Mus musculus: one gene and its partner. The protein of the gene in region 1 purifies or fractionates together with the protein of each later gene. This does not show direct contact. Links are inferred from orthologs where the notes say so. Each region holds a gene or a part of one and is shown on either strand. Other genes may lie near its edges.

What was found. The genes of interacting proteins can lie anywhere in the genome.
Region 2: the proteins of Cacybp (region 1) and Otud5 purify together in Homo sapiens (affinity purification with mass spectrometry; 4 studies listed by BioGRID and IntAct, with this or other methods). This does not show direct contact. The link is inferred for Mus musculus from reciprocal best matches to the Homo sapiens genes CACYBP and OTUD5.

Annotation. Positions count from the first base shown.
Region 1 is NC_000067.6:160,210,039-160,214,026, reverse strand, and holds the start of Cacybp (calcyclin-binding protein), read left to right. Parts: upstream 1-1,134; 5' UTR 1,135-1,359; coding exon 1,360-1,380; intron 1,381-3,988. UniProt on the Homo sapiens protein: May be involved in calcium-dependent ubiquitination and subsequent proteasomal degradation of target proteins. Probably serves as a molecular bridge in ubiquitin E3 complexes. Participates in the ubiquitin-mediated degradation of beta-catenin (CTNNB1).
Region 2 is NC_000086.7:7,872,771-7,877,128, forward strand, and holds the end of Otud5 (OTU domain-containing protein 5), read left to right. Parts: intron 1-783; coding exon 784-985; intron 986-1,069; coding exon 1,070-1,183; intron 1,184-1,459; coding exon of another isoform or gene 1,460-1,462; coding exon 1,463-1,584; 3' UTR 1,585-3,856; downstream 3,857-4,358. UniProt on the Homo sapiens protein: Deubiquitinating enzyme that functions as a negative regulator of the innate immune system. Has peptidase activity towards 'Lys-48'- and 'Lys-63'-linked polyubiquitin chains. Can also cleave 'Lys-11'-linked ubiquitin chains (in vitro).

The DNA of each region.
Region 1 (3,988 bases):
TCCATACTTTAGAAGTAGCCATGTCCTCCTCCTTTTTATTTCACCTTTTCATAAACTTCAAAGGGTGGCACCTTTCTGTCATTGTCCACTCCAGAAAAGGATTGTTTTTATTTTTATCACTATAGGCCATGGGACTGGTGGTTTGAGACTTTTATTTAAGTTGCAACTATACACGACATACATCCCTGTCTAACTTGTCATTTTGTGCAAGTTTGTGTGAGAAGTTCGTACAGGTTGCATGCCTTAATGTTACATTAATATAAAGTGTAGTGTAGCAGCATTTTCCTTGACTTGCTGATGCTAGTAACTCCCCTAAGCATCTGTAAGCTGACAGCAGATTGCTCTACCTCCCAATGGGTACTGTTTGTTTTCTGTCTCGGTTTACTGGGTGTTATGGACGTCTCTATGCTGTCATAATTAAGATAATTTGAAAAACGGTTTTACGCTGGGGGTTTACTAATCCGGGCTGCTGCAACCCAAAGTCCTAAGAATTCCTCCACATTTTACGTGGAAATTCACTCAATCCAAACCCTGCTGAAAATACAAAATAAACCGCTAGTAAAGAGCGAAGGCAGTGGAAAACTTCGTATCAAGAGCTCATATAGGCAAGGGAGAATGGAGCGTTCGGCCACTTGAAACCGTGCCGCTTTCCACCACGGCGCCCAGAGCCAGTCAGGAAGCCCGTGCAACCTTCCTACAGTCCCACGAGATGGCGCCACGTCAACGGTGCTAGACGCAGGACGCCTCCAGAAACCCAAGGCCCACTTAAAGCCATTGTTCTACTTAGGAGCCTTCCTCCCTTAACAAATCCGTCCTTTTTTGATGGTAGTTGTGCTTCTTTGGGGGCGCTCCTTTGTTCTTTCCCGATACCTCAGAGCTGCCGAAGACAAGATGGCGGCCTGGCAACTCCGCATCGCACCAGCGGAAGCAGCCCTTCTCGAGACACTTCCTATCGGGTCCCCAAACCTTTGAAGGTTAGTTCCGGGGCTAGGTCTGGCCGCGGTTGCGAGCTGCGACTGCGCAGCCCGGTTCTGCCGGCGCGGAACGACGTCTCAATCGCTGGGGCGGAAGGAAGTGGCTGGACGCCTCCTGAGCATTCGATCGCTCGCGAGAATTGAGCGTTGCTAGGCAACCAGCCTGGGGGCGGGACTAGACTCGGAGGGGCGGGGCCTTGGGAGGCTCCGGTGGAGCCTTGCGAAGGTTCCAGAGCCGTCTCGTGCGGAGGGCGGGCCGCCGTGTCGCGCCGGGTCTGTGGAGCTCGCTGCCGGCGCTGCGACGCTCGTGGGTGGCGTGTTCGGCTTTTCCTGTCTGCTTCGGTGCACCGCTGCAGCTCCGGCCTCGGGTCTGACGCGCGACGGCATGGCTTCCGTTTTGGAAGAGGTAGGGGTCGGCCTGGACCCACCGGCTCGCGCCGCCGGGCGGCGGCTGCTTTCCCGGGGCTGATGTCCTCGGCTCTGCCCCCGTCGCGGGCCCGCGGCCTCTACGCCGCCGCCTGCCTGGGCCTGAGTGTCCCGGCCGCGGCTGGAAGGTCGGGGGTGTGTCTGGATCCCAATTTTTGGCGCGGTTCGTGGTAGGCTCGCGGGTGGCGGTCCCCTCTCTCCATTGCCTGAGGTCTTCTCGGCTCCCGGTTCCTGGCCAGGGATCAGAAACCTTCCTGCAAAGCTCTGAGCTCCGGGCCGGGGGCCATGGGAAGGAATTCCCATGCCCGCATGACTAGTCATGGTCACCGCTTTCATTTTATAGGTGGTTATACATACATTCTCTGTATTATTTCTAAACGCCCTGGACAGTGCTTATGGTTTCAGTTTTTATTTAGCAGTGCCAGTGGCGGACCTGCAGGCCTTACACACGCTAGGCAAGCTCTCTACCGTTCCGGTATACCCCCAGTCTTTATGTATAAAAGCAATTTTTAAAAAGTTACTGGGAATTGAGCAGTAGGTACGACTAGGAAATTGCCTGGCGTGTGTTTTTAGATTTGTAAAAAATGAATGTGAATGACTTGACTTTTTGGATCCTCGAGGTCTCCATAGCAAGAGTAATTGAATTGCCGGGTTTTGGCCAATACAGGTTTTATGTGATTGACATATTGTTTTCACAGAAACATTGGCTGTTAAGATTTGCTTTTCGGAAACTTCTCCCTCACTTAGAAATCATGGGCTTTAAACACATAAAAATTAGGAAGTTAAAGTATTCATCTGGGTATCTTGCGACAAGATAGGCAGGCACCACGTGCTCACTGGGAGAGTGGAGAGGGTGGCTTAACAGTTGTGCAGCATTAATTGTCTCCAAAAGAGAAGGGACTTTAGACTTGGAGCTATGCATATAGGGGCATGTTTTTCTTCTGAGATTAAAATTCACCTTATTCAATCATATTAAGATGTGAAATTCAACTTTTTCTGTCGTACAACCATCAGTGTTACCTAGTTGCAGACTATTTTCGTTTCCTTAAATAGAAATCCATTGTAGGTGCTCCATCTACTTAGGCTGGAGCCTTAGGATTTTCTAGTTCAGTCGTGGTATCAGTATGGCATTCCTTTGGGTGGTTGAATACTGTCCCATTGTACAGATGGAATTCCTACTCTTCTGTTTCTCCATCTTGCCGATTGTGATTTCTTGTAAACAAGTTTTGTTTTGTGGGCATGTTTTTAGTCCGTGTAATTGCCAAATAATAGGGAAAGTCTTAGGAAGCTACCGTTTCCACAAGAATTGCACAAAAGGTGCCATTTCTCCACACATTCACTAACATTTGTTATTTTATTGGGTGGTTTTTGTTCATATGCTAACATCCACATGAGGGTGTAGTACCACCTCATGCATTGGCTATGCATCTTCATAGCTGTGTGCATCTATTTGTGTGTGTACCTGGTGTCCAATTCCATGTCTTTGTGGAGGAGAGTTGGGTTCTTCCATTTTGAGCAGTTGGGTGGGAGTAGGTCTCACTGAGTACCCCTCACTTGGTCTTTGAGATACACTTGCCTCCAGAGTGGCAGAACTAAAGGCATGTGCCACCAGGCCAGACCGAGCCCCTATTTAACAACTGGGAAACAGATTCAAAGGGAGATAAATGTTTATGTATAGAAAACAAATGCATGCCAAGAAGGCAAGAAAAAGTGGACAGGAAACTGTTCTATCTAATCCCAGTCAGAACCTACACTGTCAGTGGTTTCTGGGCTGTGAATACAAAAATCAAGCAATGGTTCTCCTGTAGGTCGCATCAGTTGGTATCTTACTAAAGAGTCCATTAGAGCGAAAACTGGGAGGGCCTGGGAATTCTGCCATGAGTCAGCTCAAAAAAAAGATTCCCATTCCAGTTTAAAGCAAAACCTTTTCCTTTCTCCGTTTGTTAAGTAAAGCTCTGTCCTAGGAATAAGTACTTGCTTTGCTTTTAATATTTTTTTTTATTATGCTGATATTTAGAATCTGTGGTAAAGTCCCACCAACCCACTTTCACCAACAGTGGTACTTGATAATCCATATGAATTTTGAAACCACTGAAAAACTTTGAATGAAATATCTTGATTCTAAATTCAAAAGATGAGTGACAGTTTTGCAGTTTTGGATCTTAGAGTCAAGTTTCCTTGGGATTGTAGACCGGAGTTTCACTGTTGTGCTTTTTATAAACTGTTAGGAAATCATAATATAATGGCCACAGAGTAATGAGCTATTTGAGCTATTTTTTTTTTTTTACTATCTAATATCTAGCATTTAAAATATTTTAAAATTATTTTTTATTTCTTGAAATTATAATAAATATAAATATAATAAATCATTTCCCTCTTCCTCCCTCCAATCCCTGCCATTTGCACTCTTTCAATTTCATAGTTTCTCTGTCTCATTTTTTTTTCATTGTTGCATACATAGTCTGTGTGATGTTACTAGTAGGTAAGCTCAGGGCTGACCGTTTGGTACTGGGCTCTTCTGGGGAAGACTTTCTCCTGCCCTCAGCCTCTCTTTGGAGCCTGTTCTTGTGTAGAGTAGTGACACCCTA
Region 2 (4,358 bases), on another chromosome or scaffold:
GGAGGTCCTATTCCTAGTGTAGCGGGCTACATTGTGAACCTAGCAGGCCAAAGTACCTATCCTTAGGCTACTCACAGTTTTACTAAGTGAAATAAAATGCTCATAATGAATAAATTAGTTGGAGGTATGGTGGATGAAAAATGGACACTTGGTACAGGGGACAATTGAGACTGAGTGGAGATGGTCTGAGTTCACGGTATTAAACAGTCGTCGGGGTAGGCCTCAGCAGATGAGGTGGGGGCAGCCTATAAAAAGGGGATTTGGTAGCTGGGGGTGAGGGCAGTGGAGTTGGTATAACTCAGAGTCTGTAGCTGAACAGAACGAGGGTGAGATCAGGGTAGTGGGGCTAGGTTGGATGGTGACTTGTGAATTCTGGAGAGGACTTTGATTTTGCTCTCAATGAGACAGAAACCATGGGGGGTGGGCTGTAAACACAAAAAGGATTCGAGTTAGGACTTGACAGGATCACCCTGACCGATTATAGAGCAAATCTGAGGGAGAAAGCAGGGTTGAAGTATGAGATCAGTGAGGAGGAGGCTCCCAAGGGAGTCCCAGTGACAGGTGAGGGTACTACAGGCGTGCTATGGAATCACAATCTCTTAAAAGAATAGGACTTTGTCAGATGCCTGCAAGGATATGAGGCTAGTTAAGAATCTCCCAGTAGTCCACCGTGATACATTAAAGCTGTGCTATAGCCAGGATTCTGGAAAGGGTATAATCACTCTGGCACAGGAGGGTCATAGCTGGTGTAGGTCCTTATCACTTTTTCCTTCCCTACTGCAGCCCCGGAAAGCCAGTGCCACATGCAGTTCAGCCACAGCAGCAGCCTCCAGTGGCCTGGAGGAATGGACTAGTCGGTCCCCACGGCAACGAAGTTCAGCCTCGTCACCTGAGCACCCTGAACTGCATGCCGAGCTAGGCATTAAGCCCCCTTCCCCAGGCACTGTGTTAGCTCTTGCCAAACCTCCTTCACCCTGTGCACCAGGTCAGTGGCTTGCTTTCAGGGTGCCTGCTTGGGCTAAGAGGCTCTGCTTGCTGGGCCCTACCTCTGATTGTCCATCTGCCTCAGGTACAAGCAGTCAGTTCTCAGCAGGGGGTGATCGGGCCACCTCTCCTCTTGTGTCCCTCTACCCTGCTCTGGAGTGCCGGGCCCTCATCCAGCAGATGTCCCCCTCTGCCTTTGGTAAGCCTCCTTAGGGGATGGGCCAGCTGGAAGTTGGGAGAGCCCGGAGGATTTTTTGAAGCCCCTGGCCATCTCTCCCAAATCAGAGGCATGAGGGAAAATTTCAGGCCCCAAAGATTTTCTCCACAGTGGGTCTAGTGGGGCTTCACAGAGTTGAGGGAGTCAATGAGTGATTGGGACCTGAACGGACTTTTCCAGAGCCAGGGATCAGACAGAAATCAGGGAAAGTGACCTGAGGCCCCCCATCATCGTTGTCCTCTTCTCTCTCCTGCCCAGCAGGTCTGAATGATTGGGACGATGATGAGATCCTAGCATCGGTGCTGGCAGTGTCCCAACAGGAATACCTAGACAGTATGAAGAAAAACAAAGTGCACAGAGAGCCACCCCCAGACAAGAGTTGATGGACACCCAGGGACTGGACATCATTCCCGATCCCCCACTCCTGCCCTTTGATGCCACCCAAACTTCTTTGGCTTTCTTCCCTCTTGGCTTCCTTCTTTTGTTTCCTCTTTTCCTTTTTTTTTTCCACTTCCCTCTGGCCGGCCCACCCATGCGCTCCATCCATCTCATCCCTGCCACCACCATTGGTCTCTGCCAGCTGAAGTGCCCTATTGCCCCCGCACAGCACCATCTCAGCATTCCACAGGGGACTCTGGAAAGGGTGCGGAAGGTAGGCAAGAGGCCCACAGAGACAGACCATCTGGCAGCCAGGCAGCCCCAGAAGAGAGACATTCAGACAAAGGAAGTCTTCTGCTCACCCTTCCTTAAAGATCAGATAAACTTGTCATCCCTTCCCAGCAATGATGACAGGAAAATGGAAGTGGCAAGTTTTCCTTCTAGTATCCGAAGAATCTGAGCCTTCAATGTTAAAATTTTTCTTAATTAAAATGTGCTTTATTTCACAAAATCAACAAATCAAAAAGAATATTCATGGCAACGTTGGTCCTTTGAGGGTGGCATCTCTGGTTTGGAGCTAGGCAGGCTGGCCATGGGACAGAAAGGGCAGAAAAAAGATGGATTTCTGCTGTCTTTTGGCCCCTAGTTCCTTGGAAGGGCAAAGGCTATGAGGTAGAGGGAGGTGACAGGCATTGCAGGTGGCAGACTGACTTTGGACAGTGAGACCCTGACCTTGCTGCATTGCTTTGCCTTCACCACCGCTAGTCTGTTTGGAAGGCTTGAGGTGGGGTGTCTTGGGAAATTAGGGCCACTACCCAAGATTTGAATTTAGGGAGTGGGAGCAGCCTCAGCAGATGGGGCACCCGTGCACTGCAGGTGTTGACAAGATCCACCATCTGTAATGTCCTTGGCACAATAAAACCAAATGTCAGTTTCCCTGAGCAACTCTATTCTGTGTGGGACACGGGTGGATGGGCCTCTGGGAAGCACAGGATTTGCTTTGACCAGAGGTCTGCTTGTTCTCCAGTAGGTGCTCTCTGTAAGCTGGGGTTCATATTTGATCTTCTGTTTATTAAATTAACTTCTTGTCTTGAGACTGATGGCAGAGAATCTCTAGAGCCCAGGTGGGTTAAGACTAACCTAACCCACATAACCAAGATTGTTTCTTAAAAGAACAAAACCAACAACAACTCTACAACTGGTCGTGGTCATGCCTTTGATCCCAGCACTGAGGAGGGCAGAGGCAGAGGTGGATCTTTTGAGTTGCAGGCCAGCTGGGCTATACAGCAAGACGCTTTTATTAAAAATCATAAACTTCAGAACCAAATCGACTGAAACTGAAGTCCCTACTCCCACCTACCATATTTGCATTAGGGAGCCTAGGGCTAATTTAAAGGACTGTATGAGCCAGAGGCCAAGACTGGTGTCTGAATTTCTACTCTCAACCTTAATGCTCATTCATTCTTGTGATAATCTGATGAAATAAGCAATCACTAATGAGTTCAGTGACCAGAGGTGGCCCTTGCCCAACTGGGTTTTAAACGTTGGAGGATGAAATGGCTAAATCCTTTTTTTGTTGTTTGTTCCTCAGGTCTGTTGACACCTCTGTCCATACCCCTGCTAGGGTTTGTAAAGCCCAGCTAGAGAAGGCTGGCTGGCCCTCAGGTTTCCTCAGAGCAGTCTTCTCCCACTCCCCAATGCCTCAGTGAGGTCCTTTCAGAAGAAGGCTGTGTAGGGTGGCCCTACGGTGAGGGTATGGCTTGCCCAGTGGGTGGCTACAGGATATCTGAAATACGTGGTCAAGCATGAGCACGCCAAGAGGGTTGATTCATTTCAAATCTACCTGCCTTGTCTCACTGTGTGGCTTTGGGCTCTCTTTGACTTTAAAGTGTCCCATCTGCAACTACAGGGGTCATTAATGTCTGCTACCTCATGCTCTCTGATTTGTGAGTATTGACAGAGAATGTGTATGGTCAATAATGTACTACTGGGAACAGTACCTGGTACACTCTTAGAGCACAAATGTTGGGGTTCTTACCAGACTTTAGGGGTGGGGGTATTACCGTATTTTGTAAGTTTGTACCATTTGGCCTCAGCCTGACTCTTGCTACTCTTGGCTTTTACTTGCAATTTGCCCTAACCCTATCTTCAGCAAGACAAAGGGATCACCTGAAAAAACCCTGTGTGATCCCATTGGCACTCTCCCTTCTGTCTACGACTATTCCGAAGAACTGTACTATAAATAAACTTCTGGGCTGGGGCTGTGATGCTTACTTATCTTGTTTGTGTGTGTCTTAAGATCTCCCCTCCACTAAAGCCTGTCAGGATCATAGGGAGACACCTAGGGATGCTGGCTGAGTAAGGGACATTATGTGTTACCTTTTCTGCTTTGCGTGTATTGTCTGTGCCTGTGACTACATTGAGTCTTGAGTCAACCAGTTTCTCTGAATTCCAGTGTCTCTGGTTGAGTGTGGATGTGTCTGTTTCCGATGAGGCTTGTTTCCAGGTGTATCAGATGGTGACTGAGTGTGGGACTCTGCCTATGACAGTTTGTGTCTGGTATCCGAGAGAAAGAAATGCATGTTTGCGTGGGTCTCTCAGTGACAGTACATCTGTAGTTTGTCTGGATACTTTCAGTGATAAGCTGCGTGTCTGATAGTGTGTGATTGGGTCCGGCTTTTGTTGATTTGCTTATCTATGTGGTGATTTAGAGCCCAAGGATGACTACGTACCTGCTTTGGAGCAGTGCGTGTATGTGTGGAACAACTGTATATTCTTG